2 linked regions of the Stegostoma tigrinum genome follow. The protein of the gene in region 2 interacts with the protein of the main gene of each other region in a biochemical or structural test. Links are inferred from orthologs where the notes say so. Each region holds a gene or a part of one and is shown on either strand. Other genes may lie near its edges.

The links. The genes of interacting proteins can lie anywhere in the genome.
Region 1: the proteins of clint1a (region 2) and ap2b1 form a complex in vitro, tested with the Homo sapiens proteins (2 studies listed by BioGRID and IntAct, with this or other methods). The link is inferred for Stegostoma tigrinum from reciprocal best matches to the Homo sapiens genes CLINT1 and AP2B1.

What each region holds. Positions count from the first base shown.
Region 1 is NC_081380.1:7,249,327-7,259,928, reverse strand, and holds the start of ap2b1 (AP-2 complex subunit beta), read right to left. Parts: upstream 4,119-10,602; 5' UTR 4,013-4,118; intron 1-4,012. Other genes in the region: pex12 (peroxisome assembly protein 12), read left to right, coding at 7,290-7,418, 9,897-10,447. UniProt on the Homo sapiens protein: Component of the adaptor protein complex 2 (AP-2). Adaptor protein complexes function in protein transport via transport vesicles in different membrane traffic pathways.
Region 2 is NC_081366.1:70,226,985-70,237,590, reverse strand, and holds the start of clint1a (clathrin interactor 1a), read right to left. Parts: upstream 3,911-10,606; 5' UTR 3,612-3,910; coding exon 3,571-3,611; exon of another isoform or gene 3,408-3,570; intron 1-3,407. UniProt on the Homo sapiens protein: Binds to membranes enriched in phosphatidylinositol 4,5-bisphosphate (PtdIns(4,5)P2). May have a role in transport via clathrin-coated vesicles from the trans-Golgi network to endosomes. Stimulates clathrin assembly.

The DNA.
Region 1 (10,602 bases), on a different chromosome or scaffold from region 2:
GGGGAGGGGGGGGAGTGGGGTGGGGGGGGAGTGGGGTGGGGGGGGAGTGGGGTGGGGGGGGAGTGGGGTGGGGGGGGAGTGGGGTGGGGGGGGAGTGGGGTGGGGGGGGAGTGGGGTGGGGGGAGTGGGGTGGGGGGGAGTGGGGTGGGCAGTGGGGGGAGTGGGTGGGGAGTGGCGTGGCGGGGGAGTGGGGGGGGGTGGGTGGGGAGTGGCGTGGCGGGGGAGTGGGGGGTGGGTGGGGAGTGGCGTGGGTGGGGAGTGGCGTGGCAGGGGAGTGGCGTGGCAGGGGAGTGGGGGGGGTGGGTGGGGAGTGGCGTGGCAGGGGAGTGGGGGGGGTGGGTGGGGAGTGGCGTGGCAGGGGAGTGGGGGGGGTGGGTGGGGAGTGGCGTGGCAGGGGAGTGGGGGGGGGGTGGGGAGTGGCGTGGCAGGGGAGTGGGGGGGGTGGGTGGGGAGTAGCGTGGCAGGGGAGTGGGGGAGTGGGGGGGTGAGTGGGGGGGTGAGTGGGGGAGTGGGGGGGTGAGTGGGGGGGTGAGTGGGGGGGTGAGTGGGGGGGTGAGTGGGGGGGTGAGTGGGGGGGTGAGTGGGGGGGTGAGTGGGGGGGTGAGTGGGGGGGTGAGTGGGGGAGTGAGTGGGGGGGTGAGTGGGGGAGTGGGGGGGTGGGTGGGGAGTGGCGTGGCGGGGGAGTGGGGGGGTGGGTGGGGAGTGGCGTGGCGGGGGAGTGGGGGGGTGGGTGGGGAGTGGCGTGGCGGGGGAGTGGGGGGGTGGGGAGTGGCGTGGCAGGGGGGTGGGGAGTGGCGTGGCAGGGGAGTGGGGGGGTGGGTGGGGTATGGCTTGGCAGGGGAGTGGGGGGGGTGGGGGGGGTGGGTGGGGAGTGTTGGGGGGGTTGGGTGGGGAGTGTGGGGAGGGTGGGGAGGGTGGGTGGGGAGTGTGGGGAGTGGGGGAGGGTGGGTGGGGAGTGTGGGGAGTGGGGGAGGGTGGGTGGGGAGTGGGGGAGGGTGGGTGGGGAGTGTGGGGAGTGGGGGAGGGTGGGTGGGGAGTGGGGGAGGGTGGGTGGGGAGTGTGGGAGGGTGGGTGGGGAGTGGGGGAGGGTGGGCGGTGAGTGGCGTGGCAGGGGAGTGGGGGGGGTGGGTGGGGAGTGGCGTGGCAGGGGAGTGGGGGGGGTGGGTGGGGAGTGGTGTGGCGGGGGAGTGGGGGCTTGGGTGGGGAGTGGCATGGCGGGGGAGCGGGGGTGGGTGGGTGGGGAGTGGCGTGGCGGGGGAGTGGGGGTGGGTGGCAGGTGGGTGGGGGTGGGTGGGGAGTGGCGTGGCGGGGGGAGTTGGGGTGGGTGGGTGGGGAGTGGCGTGGCGGGGGAGTGGGGGGTGGGTGGGGGGGGGCGTGGCGGGGGAGTGGGGGTGGGTGGGGGGGGAGTGGGGGTGGGTGGGGGGGGGAGTGGGGGGGGAGTGGCGGTGGGTGGGTGGGGAGTGGCGGGGGAGTGGGAGTGGTGTGGCGGGGGAGTGGGGGTGGGTGGGTGGGGGAGTGGCGTGGCGGGGGAGTGGGGGTGGGTGGGGAGTGGCGTGGCGGGGGAGTGGGGGTGGGTGGGTGGGGAGTGGCGGGGGGAGTGGGGAGTGGGGGGGTGGGGGGGTGGGTGGGGGGGTGGGGGGGTGGGTGGGTGGGTGGGTGGGTGGGGAGTGGGGGGGGAGTGGGGAGTGGGGGGGTGGGTGGGTGGGGAGTGGGGGGTGGGTGGGTGGGTGGGGAGTGGCGGGGGAGTGGGGGGTGGGTGGGGTGGGGAGTGGGGGGTGGCTGGGTGGGTGGGGAGTGGCGGGGGAGTGGGGGTGGGTGGCGGGGGAGTGGGGGTGGGTGGCGGGGGAGTGGGGGTGGGTGGCGGGGGAGTGGGGGTGGGTGGGTGGGGAGTGGGGGTGGGTGGGTGGGGAGTGGGGGTGGGTGGGTGGGGAGTGGCGGGGGGGAGTGGGGGTGGGGAGTGGCGGGGGGAGTGGGGGTGGGGAGTGGCGGGGGGAGTGGGGGTGGGTGGGTGGGGGGGGGAGTGGGGGTGGGTGGGTGGGGGGGGGAGTGGGGGTGGGTGGGTGGGGGTGGGGGGGGAGTGGGGGTGGGTGGGGGGGGGGAGTGGGGGTGGGTGGCGGGGGCGTGGTGGTGGGTGGGTGGGGAGTGGCGTGGCGGGGGAGTGGGGGGGGGTGGCGGGGGAGTGGGGGGGGAGGGGGGGGAGTGGGGGGGGAGTGGGGGGGGGTGGGGGGGTGGGGAGTGGCGTGGCGGGGCGACGGGGGAGTGGGGGGGGCGACGGGGGAGTGGGGGGCGGCGCGACGGGGGAGTGGGGGGCGGCGCGACGGGGGAGTGGGGGGCGGCGCGACGGGGGAGTGGGGGGCGGCGCGACGGGGGAGTGGGGGGCGGCGCGACGGGGGAGTGGGGGGCGGCGCGACGGGGGAGTGGGGGGCGCGCGCGACGGGGGAGTGGGGGGGGGCGCGACGGGGGAGTGGGGGGGGGGCGCGACGGGGGAGTGGGGGGGCAGGGGTCGTGGGTGGGGAGTGGCGTGGCGGGGGGGTGGGTGGGGAGTGGCGTGGCGGGGTGGGCGGGTGGGGAGTGGCGTGGCGGGGTGGGCGGGTGGGGAGTGGCGTGGCGGGGTGGGCGGGTGGGGAGTGGCGTGGCGGGGTGGGCGGGTGGGGAGTGGCGTGGCGGGGGGGGGCGGGTGGGGGGGGGCGGGGGGAGCGGGTGGGGAGTGGCGGGGGGAGCGGCGTGGCGGGGGGGTGGGTGGGGAGTGGCGGGGGGGTGGGTGGGGAGTGGCGTGGCGGGGGGTGGGTGGGGAGTGGCGTGGCGGGTGGGTGGGGAGTGGCGTGGCGGGTGGGTGGGGGAGTGGCGTGGCGGGGGGGTGGGGGTGTTGTTGGGGAGTGGCATAGCGGGGCAGGGGGGTTGTTGGGGAGTGGCATGGCGGGGCAGTGGGGGGTGGAGTGGTGGGAGGTGGGTGGGGAGTGGCAGGGAATGGCTGGGGTGTGGGTGGGGGTGTGGGGGGTGGGTGGGGGTGTGGGGAGTGGGGGTGTGGGTGGGGGTGTGGGTGTGGGGAGTGGGGGGGGGGGTGTGGGTGTGGGGAGTGGGGGGTGGGTGTGGGTGTGGGGAGTGGGGGGTGGGTGGGGGTGGGGGGAGTGGGGGGTGGGGGGAGTGGGGGGGGTGGGTGGGGTTGTGGGGAGTGGCGGGTGGGTGGGGGGGTAGTGTGGGGGAGTGGGGGGGTAGTGTGGGGGAGTGGGGTGGTAGTGTGGGGGTGGCGGGGGTGTGGGGGGGGAGTGGCGGGGGGTGTGGGGGGGGAGTGGCGGGGGGTGTGGCGGGGGGGGAGTGGCGGGGGGTGTGGGGGGGGGAGTGGCAGGGGTGTGGGGGGGGGGAGTGGCGGGGGTGTGGGGGGGGAGTGGCGGGGGTGTGGGGGGGGTGTGGGGGGGGAGTGGCGGGGGTGTGGGGGGGGAGTGGCGGGGGGTGTGGGGGGGGAGTGGCGGGGGGTGTGGGGGGGTGTGGCGGGGGGGAGTGGCGGGGGGTGTGGGGGGGGTGTGGGGGGGGGTGTGGGGGGGGGTGTGGGGGGGGAGTGGCGGGGGTGTGGGGGGGGGTGTGGGGGGGAGTGGCAGGGGGGTGTGGGGGGGGAGTGGCAGGGGGTGTGGGGGGGGAGTGGCAGGGGGTGTGGGGGGGGGAGTGGCGGGGGGAGTGGTGGGGGGGGGAGTGGGGGGTGGGGGGGGGGTGGGGGGGGTGGGGGGGGGTGGGGTGGGGGGGGGGTGGGGGGGTGGGGGGGGGAGTGGGGGGGAGGTGGGGGGGGGGGTGGGGGGGGGTGGAGATAGTCGGGGGCTTGGAGTGGGAGGGGAGTTGGGGTGCGGAGTCGGGGGGTGGGGGAAGAGAGCGGGTCTGAAGCGATTGGGCGATGGCCGGGACCGGGGATGGTCAGGAGGCGGGATGAGGGTGAAGGCAGTGGGCACAGTCTGTGAAGAGCGAGGCCTGAAGACGGGAGCTGCAGACACAGAGAGAGAGGTTTACGGGTGAAAAGACCGACCTGTGAGATTCCCGAGATGAAGCCGGGGAAATGGAGAGAGCAGAGATGGAACCACCCAGAGTGGGAGAGGCACTGTGTACCCGGAAAAACCGTCCCGGGGAGGCCGGGCCGGATGTGGGCGGGGGAACAGGGGGAGGAACGGACAGAGCAGGAGGAAGGAGCCTGAAGACAGACAGAGATTGTGTCTCGACCCCTCAGTTCCTCCGCCCTCTCCCCGGGGGTGGTCCCTCCTCTCCCCCCCGGGGTGAACCATCACCGCTTCCCCCTCCCCCGGGTGACCCTTCACTCCCCCCCTTCCTCATAACGGAAGTATCCCATCAATTGAAATGTTCTCGTAAACCTTTTCTCCACTAAAGGATTGACATTCTTCATTCGTTTTAATCAAAGACACTCCGACTAAGCTATAACCAATGTCTCACACAAGTTCTTCATTATCGTCTTGTTCCTGTACTCTATACCCCTATTAATTCAGCCGAAAGTAATGTAAGTTTTATTAAAAGCTCTCTACACCTGTCCTACCAGATACGGCTTACATACATAACGTCCAGGTTTCTCTGTTCCTGTGCTCCCTTTAGAACAGTGTTCTTTGTACCAAGGCGCATTACTTCTCACTTCTCTGCATTGAACTTTCTGCTACCTATCCACGCAATCCATTGGTTTATCTATGTTCTTTTGAAGTTCTACACTGACCTCCTTGTGGTTTACAATTCTTCCAAATTTTCAGTCATCCACGACACTTTCAAATTGTCCCCTGCACATCAAGATCTGGATCGTTGATATGGATCAGGAAAAGCAAGGGTTCTAATAACAATCCACGAAGAAGTCCACTACAAACCACCTTCCAGCCTGAAAAATACCGATTAACCAAAATTCTTTGTTTCCTATTCTACAGACAATTTTGTATTCATGTTGCTACTGACTTTTTTTTCCCTTGTTCTGTATCTTTCCTCACAGAACTGTTGCTTGGTGTTGTATCAAATGCCTTTTGGAAGTCTGTGCATACCACAACAATTTTCCCATCATCAATCCTCTCTGATACCTCTTCAAATAACTCCAGCAAGTAACTTTGGCAAGATTGTCCTTTAATAAATCCATATTGAGTCCTCCAAACCAATGCACATTTTCATTGTGGTGAGTCGTTCTATGCCAAATAATTGCTTCTACATGTTTCTTCATCACTAGAGTTAAATGGAGTGTTCTGTAATCAGTGGACTGACTTAAACAACAATGTTCAACAAAGGCATGAAGTTTTCAACTCTCCAACCATACACCGTCACTGAATGTAGGAAAGACTGAAAGATCATTGAAAGCGCCTCTGCAATCTCCACTCTCCATTCCCTCAATATCCCAAGGCCTAATCACGTCTAAGTAGTAATAGCTTATCCAATACCACCTCACTAATTTCAAACCCTTTGAGTGACTGAGTTCCCTCTTCTGTCACCGTGGCCTGGGCAGTATCTGCCTCCCTGGTAAATACAGATGCAAAGTATTCATTCATTATTCGCTCCAGCCATGCCTAATGTCTCTTAAGTGTCAACTCTTTTTTTATCCTTAGTTGGTCCTACTCCCCTTTTTACAACCCTTTTACTATTGATGTATTTGTAGAAGATTTTAATAATTATTTTTATATTACCTGCAAATATTTTCTCATAATCCTTTGTTGCTCCTCATGTTTGGTTTTGCATTGTCAGTTCTGAACATTCTGTATTCTGTCTGGTTCTGAATTGTATTTACCTGAGCTATAGAGAGACAGTAGGGACACTTAAAGATCAGAGGTCATTTTTGTGTTAAATCTCAGGAGATAGGAGAGATATTAAATGAATGTTTTGTGTCAGTGGAGAAAGAAATGAAAGAAAGGAAATGAATATTGATGTTTTGAAAACAGTTCACATTACAAAAACGAAGTGCTGGAGGCCTCAGAAAATATAAAGGGTGGATAAATTTTCAAGATCTGTTCCAATGTATCCCATGATGTTGTAAAAAGTTAGGGAGGAAATTGAGGAGCCCCTTGCGGAAATATTTGTGTCATCTATAACTATGGGGTGAAGTGCTGGATGATTGGAGAGTGGCTAATGTGCCTTTGTTTAAAAGGGAATGTATGAAGAAGCTCGGGAACTATTGACCTTTGATTTTGACTTCAGTGGTGGGTAAGTTGTTGGAGGTGATTCTGAAAGAAAATTTACGTGCATGCAGAGAGGCAAGGAATGATTAGGGATAGTCAGCATGGGTTTTGTGCGAGGGAAATCACGTCTCACAAACTTGATTGAGTTTTTTTGAGGAAGTAACCAAGAAGGTTGATGAGGGCAGAGCAGTAGATGTTGTTTACTCGGACATTAGAAAAGCCTTTGACAAGTTTCTGCATCATCGGCTAATTAGTAAAGTGAGATCACATGGGATTCAGAGAAAGCTTGCCAATTAGATGTAAAACTGGCAGGAGGCACAGAGTGGTGGCGGAGAGTTATTTATCAGACTCTTTGCACTTTACCAGTTCTGAAGAAGGGTTACCAGACCCGAAACATTAACTCTGTTCTTTTTCTTCACAAATGCTGCCAGAGCTGCTGAGCTTTTCCAGCAACTTTGTTTTCGTGTCCATTACCTGTGGTGTTCCACAGGAATCGGTGCTCGGTCCACTTTCGTTTGTCATTTATTTAAATGATTAAATGGTAATTAAGTTCACAGATGACACTAAAATTGATGGTACTGTAGACAGTGAAGAAGGTTATCTAAGATTACAAATTATCTTTTGGGTCAGCAGGCTGAGGAGTGGCGGATGAAGTTTAATGTGGATAAATGTGAGGTATTGCATTTTGGTAAAACAAACAAGGGCAGATCTTACACAATTACAAGTAGGGACTTAGGTAGTGTAGAACAGCAAGCCGTAGGGAGTCAGGTACACTCTCGACCTCCCACCTTTGCACTACCTGAAGTTCACCGAGTCCCACTGTCTCTGCACTTCCTTAAACTGCAGTGACCACGTGCTATCGTGGGACGACTAGGTGGGCGGGGCTTCACTACGGGCGCGGAACGTCAATGGGCGGAGTAGAGCAGCTCCGTGCCTTTGAGTGGGCGCGGCAGCACTGTCGGGCGCGTGCATTGGGGTTGCGCGGCGACCCAGTGGGCGGAGCATCGCCGTGGCGGTGTCCTCTCAGTGGGCGGGGTTGCCTCCGAGGGCGCGGCGAGCGGATAGGCGGGGCGCCGTGGTGGGCAGGCCCTATTCCGTCTCGGATCACGCGGTGGGTGGGGTCATCCGCCGGTTGCCCCAGGAGACGGTGCGGCCATGGCGGAGCGCGGTGCTCACTTAACGGGCGGCCTGGCTGTCAGCCCGGGCCGGCCGTCCATCTTTGAGGTGGTTGCTCAGGACACGTTGATGTCGGCGGTCAGACCCGCCGCGCAACATGCTTGCAAGGTGAGGCTCGTACCGTGCCCTCCCCAGGAGGAAGGGTAGGCAGAGGGTCCTTGCCGCCTCCGCGGATTGGAATCGGAGGCGCAGCTGCCGCTGTCCCAGGGGGTTAGGAGCAAGGGCTGCAGGCTGGCCTAAGGCCGAAAGCGCCTCCGGATGGAGGCCCAGAGTCAGGTACTTCGGTCGAAGATGACCCAGAGGTGACTCACTCTTCAACTCATTTCCGAAAAATAACGACCTTTTCTTTCTTGACTAGAACCACAATGTTAAAGACAAAAGCATTATTTGTCAGTCTTCCACATGTTGTTGCAAGTGCAAATTCACCCTTGATTCACAGTTAGGAATTATGGTGTAAACCTGCTTCACATGTTCTCTGATGATAAAATGTGAGGCTGGATGAACACAGCAGGCCAAGCAGCATCTCAGGAGCACAAAAGCTGACGTTTCGGGCCTAGACCCTTCATCAGAGCCTCAGAGTTCATCTAGCCTCACATTTTATTATCTTGGAATTCTCCAGCATCTGCAGTTCCCATTATCTCTCACATGTTCTCTGATTCTGACAGTACTTTTAAGCTACTGGATTCTCCAGCTGTGTTGACCAATGTGGTACAGAGGGAGGCAGTAAGCTGTAGAGCTGGATGAACACAGCAGATCAAGCAGCGTCAGAGGAGCTGGAAGGCTGATGTTTCCAGTTTAGACCCTTTCTGGATCATTTCTGAAGAAGGATCCGGACCTGAAACGTCAGCCTTCCTGCTGCTGCTGCTTGACCTGCTGTGTTCATCCAGCTCCACACCTTGTTATCTCAGATTCTCCAGCATCGGCAGTTCCTACTATCTCTGATAGAGGGAAATGAAGGAAGTGTAAATTGAACATCAAGCCACTTGTCGAATCAGAATTGAGTGAACCATGTATGTTTATTCTCTGGATTCTTTTTAAATTAATCCCACAGGGACCAAGTATGTTTTAATGGAATTGAAATGAAGATGCTGTACTCGAGCTTAACCTGAACTTCAGTTGATAGTTTTTGCATGGTTGTGATCTCAGCAATGCGAGTCTATATTGAGTCATGGAAATAAAAAAAAGAGATTACTCTTCAATATAATCCCATAGGTTCCAGTTGTGCACATAATCATTAGACGAACACACCATTCAGGAGTCAAAATAGAAATATGGCCCATTTAACACTATTGTCGCAATAATGAAGTTGACTGATCTTAGCAACGAATCCCGATGAACAAATCTGCAACATGCCCAGAAATGGTTGAAGTAAAACTCCAGTGGTATCCTGCTTTGGAAATCATGGATTCAAACACTTTCTTTAGCTGCCCTTAACATATCTGAACATTTGAGGACTTTTCATTTCATTAGGGAGTATTACACACCAATTGGTTCTGTTTTCACCTGATTCTTGTACGTGTTCAGTGCTGAGGTAAGGGACAGTGTTAGGTTTTGATTATGAATGGTAGGTGTCTTTTCCCTAGGATGGGCGTTGTCAAGATAATGGGGCATATCTTAAGGTGAGAGGAGAGAGATTTTAATAAATACACGGGGTGACATTTTTTTTACTTCAGAAGATGGCTTGCATGTGGAAGGAACTTCCTGAGGAAGTGTTGGATGTGAACACAGTCACACCATTTAAAAGACACTCAGATAAATACCTGAACAGGAAAGATTTGGAGGAATATAGGCCAGGAGCAGGCAGATGGAACTAGGTTAGTTTGGGATTATGTTCGGCGTGGACTGGTTGGATGGAAGGGTCGTGTTTCCATGCTGTATGTCTCTAAGAATGCGACAGTTGATGCTAGAAGCCAGGATACCCCATTCACTGTATGCACAGTCGCGTTTTCACACAGGGTTAAATTTGTACTGTAATCTAGACAGGATTAGCAAAATGCAAACCAGTGAGCTCTTTGTGAAAAGCATTTAGTGATATTTCATTTGAAATTATGCAAGGTGTGTGGTGTTTTTTAAGACCCTGAATGTTACTGAATTCTAACAATGTGCACCATTATATTTTTTGTAAAATATATATATATACAGAGACAAACAAATTGTCCACTGGGGAAAGGGAACATAAGTTAGTACGTTTGCAAGTCAGCACTGAGAAGTGGAATAGGGAAGAACATATTTCTAAAAGACGTAAATATAACTGTAGAGTAAGATATCAGGGAATAAAATTGAAGTCAATGTGTTCCATAGATAACTGGGTGTTCCTGAAGAGGAGGGGATTAAAAGCCATAGTGTGACGGCAAATAATAAAGGGGTGCTTAATGTTAATAGAATTTAAAAATGCACAAAAATCCAGGTTAACTGGTCTATATTGGCTTTCCTCCAATCTCATTTCCGTGATCTTTCATATTACTTTTTAAGGATGCTAAGATACCTATGTGGAAATGAGCAATACTAACTTCTGACAGTCAGTCTACTGACTGACATCCTGGCACAAGGCACAATGTTTTGACAGAGCATATGTTTCTGTTCTAGGTGCTTGCGGAATCCAACCCCAGTCGCTATGGGTTTCTATGGCGATGGTTCGATGAAATCTACGTGCTGCTAGACCTCCTGCTTGAGCATCACTATCTGTCCAGGACCAGTGCTTCCTTCTCTGAGAACTTTTACGGTCTGAAAAGAATTCCATTGGGTAGTGGTCACGGACTATGGAGATTAGCCAGTCTTGGGCTCCCAAGAACCCAGCACTGGAGATCCCTGCTGGTGGTAATAGCTGTTCCGTACATAAAAGTCAAATTGGACAAACTGTTTGCTCGACTGCAAGAGGAGGATGACTATGCAATACATCTCCCAGAGTCCTCTTGGAAGCGTCTTTATAAGGCCTTCCTTGCAGCCTATCCTTTTGTGAATATGAGTTGGGAGGCATGGTTCCTTATCTACCGGCTCTTGTACGTCTTCGAGAAAACACAGTTTCACTCACCGCTGTTGCGAGTGGCAGGGGTCCGTTTGGGGAGCCTCACCCCTGCAGATATTCAGGACTTCGAGAAAAAATTCTCTTCTATTAGCAACCATTCAGCCAGTGAAAGGTAAGCAAAGAGCTTTGAAAGGCTGTGGTCATCAGGAATGTAAGATCAGGATAGGCTACAGAATTTGAGTGCATTCTTTATTCTTTAAGATGGTGAAAACTTTAAGGTAATAACTTGCAGATGTAAAAGTACCAATGAGAATTGACAAATCATTC
Region 2 (10,606 bases):
TGTTGGAAGTATCTGGAATACACTGCCTTAAGAAGCGGCAGGAGCAGGGGCCCTCTTGTCGCTGAAGTATGCAGGTAAACACTTAAAACGTCACAGCATGTAAGTTACAGGTCAAGTAATGGAACACAGGGTTAGACTAGATAGGCCCTCAATAACCAGCACTAACATGTTGGGCCATCAAGGGCCTCTTTCGGTGCTGTAAACCTTTAATCCATCTATAGCAAATCAAAGCTTAGCAATATGATCTTACTGTAGTAAGTGTAAACTTGTAACAAGAATGCTTCAATTTATTGCAAGACAACAGCAAACATGGATTTATTCAAGCTGTACGAAATAACAATTCAAGGCAATGCAAAACATGCCAACATTAAAGTTTTTCTTCTAAAAAAAAGCACTGTGAACCCATCGCAATTAACTTTCCACTGTCCTTCACTCCCAAAGCCAACTCTTTATTGAGATACAACTTCCCATTTATCACTTACAAACAAATTACACCGTCACCATCAAGTTAAGTGACTTCAGGGCCTGCATAGCGCAAACAAACTTCCATCAACAACTCCATATGACAACCATATCCCTGGTCATTTATCTCTTTCCAAACTAAGCAGCAGCGAGCCACTGTTGCCTTAGCAGAGATGAGCTCAGTTAGCATAGCCATTAATCCAGAGATTAGAGTTTCCTGATATGTATCACTCGGTTGCTCTCTCGTCAAAACAAATGATTTACTTTTTGGGGGGCGGGGGGGGGGGGGGGGGGGGGGGGGGGGAGAAAACAAGAAAAAAAAACTACTATATCTAAATATGAAAAGGTCACAATTTTGCTTTTTTCATCCTCTTGAACTCCGTTTGACAATGTGAAGCAGAAACAACTCGGTAAGAAAATAACTCCATCATTTAAAACAGTTAGTCAGTCGTTACTAATTTTTGGCTACTTTATTTTTGCTCTCTTCTAGTGAAAAATCTCCACTTTATAAACTACACCCATCAGAGGGGTGAGTATTTGAAAAGTGATCCATGATTGATCCGCATAATTGTAGGTAATTGTGCAAGTGTGTTCGCATGAGAATGGTGGCTGCTGGAATGTGGTAGCCTCTCCTGTGGAACAAGTTGATCACCCTTAAAGCTATGTCATTTTTAAGAGTCAAATAGCTTGTACATCAATGAAGAATGTCTTTCTAAGCAAAATCCAACAAGGCTTTTGGCTGTACTATGCCCAGTCTTAACTCAGCAACTAGAAGGGAGGATGAAATAAAGAAAAAGGAAAAGAAAGAGACAGCGATCATCAAGTTTATGTCCCTGACAAAGCCTGACTATTTTGCTGGTATTTCTTTCTCAGCAATTACATTATCACGAGCAATCTAAACAAATACATGTAAAGTATGTAAACTAATGTTGACAGTCTGTTGCTTTCTGAAAGTTACTTCAAGTCTTTCAATTATTTTCTAATGTCAAGGTTGCGTTATAAAACACATGAAAGTGCAATGTTACAGTTTCAAATGTTACCAACAAGTACGATTCTTCATATTTTCTCAGTAAGTGCCTATCAAAAGCATTTGAATGAAAATGTTGCTTTGTATGCCCATTTAAATTAGGTAAGAACTCAAAATTCACTAAGATATACGTTTATAAAATGCATTTTCAAAAAATTGCCTTAAAACTAAATCCCATCCTTAAGACGTGCTCAATCTTATTCAAAATGGATGAAGACTACCAATTTTAATGTTTACAAATATAAAATCATGTGTTTGTTTACGTTTTAAAACACGTTTTAAGCAGTCTGGAGTGTTTTATAATCCAAAACTAGTCATGCTGCAACCCTAAGCACCAATATACAAAGAAAACAGGGAAAGTGCCTGTAAATTTTAACATTAATTCCCAAAAACAAAACTTCCTGGTACCATGGTCAGCAGACTGTCCAGCCTCAGGAAAAATTCATGACAGTTATGAGGTCCAACTCCTCGCTGTCATTCTGGGGAATTCGAGAGGCTTTAGGCACAAAAATGCTGCTTTAGACAATAAAACTTTAAATCTGACTATAAAGTAAGAACTAAATTCTAGAAAGAGTCTGGCACGTATGTCATGGAACTATATCACTGTTCATTCCTGGCTATTCCATCAAATCTTTGTATTCCTTCCCAACAGCTCTGTGGGTGCACCTATACCACTTGGCTTGCTGTAATTCAAGGCAGCAGGTGACCGCCACCATCTCCATGACAATTAGGGATGCGCAATAAATGCTGATCAAGCAAAGAATGCCCACAACCTACGAACAAATCAAAAAGTGCATTGCAACTTCTATTACTACCAGGTGTGTCAAAAGTATTTGCAGCCAATGATGTTTTTTTTAAAAAGTGTAGGGATTATGCAACATAGGAAGTGTGACAGCAAACGTGCATACAGTAAGTGCTTAAATGAGAAGGGCGTGGATTTTGTACTGTTGCAAAATTCAATTATATTATCAAGCAACGTTTATGGCTGGAAGCATTGACAGCAATGCTTCCACAAACATATGTGGAATCTTCAAAACTAAGTTAAAATAAGATGTCAGTATAAAAGCAATGACAAAGCATTATCATTCTACAACTCAGACAAACTTTTCACCTATACTGCCTGGCACAAAACCAGGGCTGTACCAACAACCTACAAACTAAGTCACTGGATTGAGCGTTCAGCAAGTATTGGATACAATCTTGGAACACATCATACAAAATTGGATTAAAATTTAAGAAACGGCAAGTAATGAAAGCAAGCTTTGAAGTTCACTTATTGCAAACAAGTGAGCATTGTTATAAGTGGATAACAGCGTTCAAAGAAATTCCCCCCAGGAAAGAATACCCTTTAAAGACCCAGCAAACATAACTCAACATCATTAAATAATGACCTAATCAAGAATAAAATAATTTGCAGACGGGGCATCCCAAGACCAGGTCAGCACCAATAAACTGCTTTTGAGGTGTCATCATTTGTTTATTACAAGATCAAATGGGCTGTCAATTTACACATAGCAAAAATTCACCAAGAAAACCCAATGACAAAGATGACCAGATAGTCTGTCATTTGGTGATGTCAGCTGATGGATGAATATTGACGAGGATGACATGACGGAACACTCCTGAAGCCCTGTAAAAGGCTTCCACCCAACCCAAGACAAATATCGATGTCAATGTCTGGCCTAAAGTGTCAAAGGCACTCCCTCCGAGTATTAGAGTGCCAGCCTGCAGAAGTCTCTAGAAATGGGAGGTTCGAACCTCAGATGAGCCCGGGCTCGACTGACAGAGTTCAGGAGAGGCGTATGCGCGGAATAAGAATCCACCGTCGCTCCAGGTCACCCAAAGTGGGTCAAGTCGAATGAACAGGGGGAAGAGGAGGTAGGGGGGAGAAGGAGAGGCCCCGGCGCTTGGAGGAAGAGAGGCCATGACTGTGTCCCAGCGGCGCCTTTGGTCTGGCGTCGCGCACCCACTGACGTGTCGCCTCTGAGCGGCCTCCAACCTGTTCTTCCCATCGTATCCCCCCTCCCCCCTAACACCGTCTTTCTGATCACTTCAACCGCACGCTTCATCGTCGTACTTACGCCTTGTCCACCAGCTCGCGCATTTTCCACATGTTCAACATCTTCACTTTCTCTCTCGCTTCGACAGCGGATTTCTTTCCCCCGTCCGGTAATATGGTTTAGTTTAGTCCTCTGGCCCTTTACCTCTCTCTCCCCACCTCTCCTCCACCCCTCCCCGCCCCGCCCACCACCACGGCCCAGGTCAAGGATGATTCCCGCTGATCTACAGCCAGGACTGACAGTTAACAAATTAAAAAGAAGCCTAGGCCTGGCTAGGACCCCTACCCTCTAACCCCGCTAACCTCCGCCTCCTCTTTCTCCTGAGCTGCCGGCTACCAACTAGTCAATGCGTGAACGCACTGCTACGTCATCACGGCGACTAACGCACAGCGTCATCTGAATCAGGTCCCGCCTTCTCATGCTCAGGCACTGCCTCTTTGCGGTTTCCATCCTTTCAGCGCTTCGCGTGCTAAATGTTGAGCTGCAGCGCGAGTCGCAGATTGCAAACGGCTACTGCGTGGTGCAGGCCGGGATTTGTAGTTTCCAAGACACCTTCACTGCTTCTCCTTTCTGCTCTGATGCCGCGGAGAACTACATGTCCCAAAAGGCCCCATAAGGAGGACCTTGCGCCGACTGTTCTCCGTGCGCTAGAAGAAGCGGTAGCGGGAGCATTCGGAGTACGGTCGTGTTTTGGTGTGATCTTGTGTGTAAGTACTGAATATATATCTCCTCGATAGTTTTCTGTACTCTTATTCAGAGCTGCGTTATCCAAGAACCAGTGTGTGAGGAATTGGTAAAGAGGAGAGAGCCTGAGAACAGGCCGGCAGCCAAAATAAAGAGGAAGATATCAAGAACTGCAGATGCTGGAGTCATCATCATCATTAGCCATAGAATCCCTACAGTGTGAAAACAGGCCCTTCGGCCTAACAAGTCCACACCGATCCTCGCAGCATACCACCTAGACCTATGTCCCTATAACCTACCTAATCTACACATCCCTGAAACTACAGGCAATTTAGCGTGAGTCAATACAGTGTACAGCGGATCAGACAGCATCGAAGGAGCAGGAAAGGCGACGTGTCGGGTTCACACCCTTCATCAGGACTCAGAAGATAGAAACGGGCGGTGCGGGTCTAGGGAACGATGATGCTGGAGGCTGTGGGCGGGAAGTCTCCCCAGGTGATGAGGTTATTGATGGCCTGGAAGATGGTGATCAAGGGCGGAGTGGACGGTAAGGGGTGTTGGAGAGTTGGTGCCCGGTTTCCACGATGTAGAGGTTAGTACACCATACCACCACCGCGAACTCCCATCCCCCTTATCAGCATGTTTGATGGTGACGTTGGGGTTGGAGCGGAGGGCTGTCTCTTCCGCTTGCGGAGAGGTTCGAGTGAGTGAGAGGGGTGGAGAGATTCAGGCGATTGAAGTCATGATGATCGTTAGAGATGAAGAGATCGAGGGAGGGTAGGAGGCCATGGGGTGGTGTCCAGGCGGATGGAGTTTTTCAGAGGCAGGAGAAGAGGTCTTCAGAGAGTGACTAAGACTCCTGATCAAAAAAAAACAGGTGTGGCGGTGGTGGAAAAATAGCTCAACACTAGATCTGTATGGAATTTGATGATGTGTGGGTACAAGGGGATGAAGGTGAGTTCTTTGTTGAGGACTGACTGTTCGCCCTCAGTGAGGGGGAGGTCTCGGGTGATGATGAATACCTTGCAGGGCTTGGGACTGGGGTTAGGTCTAGAGCTGAAGCTGGAAGTTGGGGTGGAGTCTGTCTTGGGAATGGTTGCATATATGGGAACTCGTGGGCAGAGGCAGAAGTAGCAATGTAGTCAGCGGCAGTAGCAGAAGTGACATAGTCAGCATCGGCAGAAGCAACATTGTCAGCGTTGGCAGAAGTGACGTCAGTGGCGTCAGCGGGAGCAACTGAGGCGACCGTGTGGTTATTGGCGCCAGTTGAATTTAGGATGAGGTCGTGGATAGGGTTGGGGTCTAGGGTAGTGGAGAGGTCTGTGTTTGGAGCTAAGCGTGAGCAGGTTTGATATACTTGTCTCCGACAAACTCCATCCTCCTGGACACCACTCCATGGCCTCCTACCCTTCCTCGACTTCTTCATCTCCAACTGTCATCCTGCCAATAGGGTGGAGAAAAAGCGTTTGTTGAGGGTACTGATCCTGCGTAGAATTAAAAACAGTAGATGTCCTTTGCAGACCTGAGAAAGAGAAGCTATGAGCTAGGGTAGGGCTGACTGTAGTGAGAGAAGTTGCCAGCACAAAGCTGCAAACGTGGAGCTGAGGATCCGCAAAGAAAACTGTTTCTAGCAGATCAGGATGTACTGTAGATAACGATTGTCATGGTTTGATCCAAATTGGGATGATCTGCACATTGTTTGAAGTCAAAGGGGCATGAGCCGGCTATGTAGGCAGGTACTGAGAAAGGAGACATGGCTGTAGTAATGGATTTGTTTCAGAATGTGGTTGAAGAACTTCAGAACAGAGAAGATCACCAGGGGTTTGCAGTAGGAGAGAGATCCACTGAGATCTTTTCAGAGGGAGAAGGACAACTTCAAGGTGAGTATTCATGAAAGACGCTTTGCATCAGCGTTTTCAGCAACTAGAAGACAGCAAGAACTGTAGATGCTGAAGTCAGAATCAATACAGTGTAAAACCAGAAGAACACAGCAAGTGTTCCTGATGTAAACCCAAAACATTGACTTTCCTGCTCCTCTGACGCTGCCTGATCTGTGTTGCTCCAGCTCCACAGTGTGTTGACTTGGGTTCAGTCGTGGCTGAATAGCCCAATCCTGGAGCTGCAGACTGTGCCACAGGTGGGGCTGTGTTTGATAAACAGTTGGGTGAGAATGCCCTGGATTCCATGTGCTCTTTCTGCTGCTTATTTTGGTCTCCATATGGTCCACTTGGTGACATGTTTCACACCTGATATCTTTGCAGATACTTCATCTCTGGTTTCTGCATTTTAAGACAAGCAATTCCCACCTTTCAGTGGGGTGTGGTATTTGTTTAGAGAGGGCATCATTCCCTTTGTACTCCTAGTGATCACCTACAGTTTAGAAGTTGAAACAGAGCGCTTGTTTAGGGAATCTTGAGTTGGGCATGTGGACAATGGTCGCACCTTGCACCTAGTTATGCATGACCAATGCCTCGTTACAAGGGATATCAGCCTGGGAAAGGATGCTCCTATTGGTATGCTAATCCTACTGGTGGATTTTCAGGATATTGTGAAGGTAGTGCTGGTAATCTCTGGGGATTTGAGGTCTCTGCCATATATAATCCATATATCCGATGAATACAAGAGAGTGGGGAACCAAGGCTGCTCTGATGACCGTGGGATTGGTGCTGAGTTTGAGGCCTTAAATTTTGAACACACTATTCCTCAGGCATCCAAAGACTACTGGAGGTTGGAGTTGATGTAGCATTTCATCATCAATATCTGCTTGTACTGAGAGCAGGCTCCTGAGGTATGAAAATGATTCACATGTCCAGGGGCTCACCATGGACTGTGATGGTAGTGGGGAACGGGGTTGTATGACAGGAGAGGACTGGTAAAGAACCTTTATTTTTAGATGTTTAGTCCGAGGCCCATTTTCTCCTATTGCTTTAGTGAATGCCTCGATGATGGTTTATGGCTTGGCCTCTGAGTTTATGCATACGCCAGTGTCAACTTCATACTGCCCCTCAATGGCAGAAGTTAGTATCAGAGCGCTCTGTTCTACTAGAGGGACAAGCACGGGACCTCATTGGCAAGAACCCCGCTCCAACACTGACGCCTAAAAGGCTGCATCATTGTTCATCCAAGGACCACAAGGATGTCTGCATCATCCATGCATTACTGGAGCCAATGACTGCTGAGTTGACCACAACTAATCCACTCTACCATCTCTGAAACCTGGCCCCAAACCAGCATAAGCAGAAAAAACTCTGCCGCAGGAGATTTAGTGTTACTGGGAAGAAAGATCTAGTCAGGCATCACCTCACAGCCACCTTGACACAACCACATGCCACAGCTGCAGTGTGCCGTCAGCACTTGGCCCACCCTAAAAGCCACCATAGTCTCCATTTGCACAGAGATACTGGGCCTGTCAACCAATAAACACTAGGACTGGTTCACTGAGAATGATGAGGAAACTAACGATCCTCAGTGATGAGGAAACTTTCAGTAAATATAATTCAGGGCAAAATTACTTGAGCAAGTATGAGCTAATTAAGCAAAATCAGCAGAGACTGTAGAATTTAAGATAGAGAATGGGGAAATGGGAAAGAAAATGAACAAGTATTTTTCATCTGTCCTTTTTGAGGAAAGTACAAAAAATCTCTTAGAAAATTGAGGACTGGGAGACTTATGCAAATAAAGAAATTAGTATTAATAAAGTGGTTAAACAGAAAACATTAATGAATCAAAGACTGATAAATCTCCTGGATTGGATGGACTATATCCGAGAGTGTTGAAGAAGGTGGCTATAAAGGTGGATGCTTTGGTAGTTAGAACATAGAACAGTACAGCACAGAACAGGCCCTTCAGCCCACGATGTTGTGCCGACCATTGATCCTCATGTATGCACCCTCAAATTTCTGTGACCATATGCATGTCCAGCAGTCTCTTAAATGACCCCAATGACCTTGCTTCCACAACTGCTGCTGGCAACGCATTCCATGCTCTCACAACTCTTTGTGTAAAGAACCCGCCTCTGACATCCCCTCTATACTTTCCTCCAACCAGCTTAAAACTATGACCCCGCGTGTTAGCCATTTCTGCCCTGGGAAATAGTTTCTGGCTATCAACTCTATCTGTGCCTCTCATTATCTTGTATACCTCAATTAGGTCCCCTCTCCTCCTCCTTTTCTCCAATGAAAAAAGTCCGAGGTCAGTCAACCTCCCTTCATAAGATAAGCCCTCCAGTCCAGGCAGCATCCTGGTAAACCTCCTCTGAACCCTCTCCAAAGCATCCACATCTTCCCTATAATAGGGCGACCAGAACTGGACGCAGTATTCCAAGTGCGGTCTAACCAAAGTTTTATAGAGCTGCAACAAGATCTCACGACTCTTAAACTCAATCCCCTTGTTAATGAAAGCCAAAACACCATATGCTTTCTTAACAACCCTGTCCACTTGGGTGGCCATTTTAAGGGATCTATGTATCTGCACACCAAGATCCCTCTGTTCCTCCACATTGCCAAGAATCCTATCCTTAATCTTGTACTCAGCTTTCAAATTCGACCTTCCAAAATGCATCACCTCGCATTTATCCAGGTTGAACTCCATCTGCCACCTCTCAGCCCATCTCTGCATCCTGTCAATGTCCCGCTGCAGCCTACAACAGCCCTCTGTACTGTCAACAACACCTCCAACCTTTGTGTCGTCTGCAAAGATGCTGACCCATCCTTCAATCCCCTCATCCAAGTCATTAATAAAAATTACAAACAGTAGAGGCCCAAGGACAGAGCCCTGTGGAATACCACTCACCACTGACTTCCAGGCAGAATATTTTCCTTCTACTACCACTCGCTGCCTTCTGTTGGCCAGCCAATCCTGTATCCAGACAGCTAAGTTCCCCTGTATCCCATTCCTCCTGACCTTCTGAATGAGCCTACCATGGGGAACCTTATCAAATGCCTTACTGAAGTCCATATACACCACATCCACAGCTCGACCCTCATCAATTTTTCTAGTCACATCCTCAAAGAACTCGATAAGGTTTGTAAGGCATGACCTACCCCTCACAAAGCCGTGTTGGCTGCATTTGATCAAGCCATGCTCTTCCAGATGGTCATAAATCCTATCCCTCAGAATCCTTTCTAACACCTTGCAGACGACAGACGTGAGACTTACTGGTCTGTAATTGCTGGGGATTTCCCTATTTCCTTTCTTGAAGAGAGGAATTACATTTGCCTCTCTCCAGTCCTCAGGTACGACTCCAGTGGAGAGCAAGGATGCAAAGATCCCCGCAAGTGGCAAAGCAGTTGCATTTCTCGCTTTCCAAAGCAGCCGAGGACAAATCTGGTCCGGGCCTGGCGACTTGTCAATCTTAATGTTTGACAAAATTTTCAACACATCAGCTTCCTCTATGTCTATCCATTCCAGCGTGCACACCTGCTCTTCAAAGGTTTCATTCTCTACAAAGATCGTTTCTTTCATAAAGACAGAAGCAAAAAACTCATTTAGGGCTTCCCCTACCTCCTCAGACTCCACACACAAGTTCTCTATGTTATCCCTGATCGGCCCTACTCTTTCTTTGACCATTCTCTTATTCCTCACATAGGTGTAAAATGCCTTTGTGTTCTCCCTAATCCGTTCTGCCAAGCCTTTCTCGTGCCCCCTCCTGGCTCTCCTCAGACCATTTTTGAGCTCCTTCCTTGCCTGCGTGTAATCCTCTCTAGCTGAACTTGACCCTAGCTTCCTCCACCTTATGTAAGCTACCTTCTTCCTTTTCACAAGAAGCTCCACCGCTCTCATCATCCAAGGTTCCTTTATCTTACCCCTTCTTGCCTGTCTCAGAGGGACGTACTTACTCATCACTCGCAACAACTGTTCCTTAAACAGTCTCCACATGTCTTTAGTGCCCTTACCATGGAACAATTGCTGCCAGTCCATTGTTCCTAACTCATGTCTAATCGCATCATAGTTTCCTCTTCCCCATTAAATATCCTCCATTTTGCCTAATCCTCTCCTTCTCCATAGCTATGTAGAATGTGAGGCAGTTATGGTCACTATCACCAAAATGCTCTCCCACCACAAGATCTGATACCTGCCCCGGCTTGTTTCCGAGCACCAAGTCTAGAATGGCCTCTCCCCTCGTCGGCCTGTCAACGTACTGCGTTAGGAAACCCTCCTGAGCACACCTTACAAAAACAGCTTCATTCAAATCTTCTGCTCGAAGGAGGTTCCAATCAATATTAGGAAAGTTAAAGTCACCCATTACAACAACCCTACTACGTCCACACTTTTCCAAAATCTGTCGAACTATGCTTTCTTCAATCTCCCTGCTGCTATTGGGGGGGCTGTAGTAAACCCCTAACGAGGTGACTACTCCCTTGCTGTTCCTAAT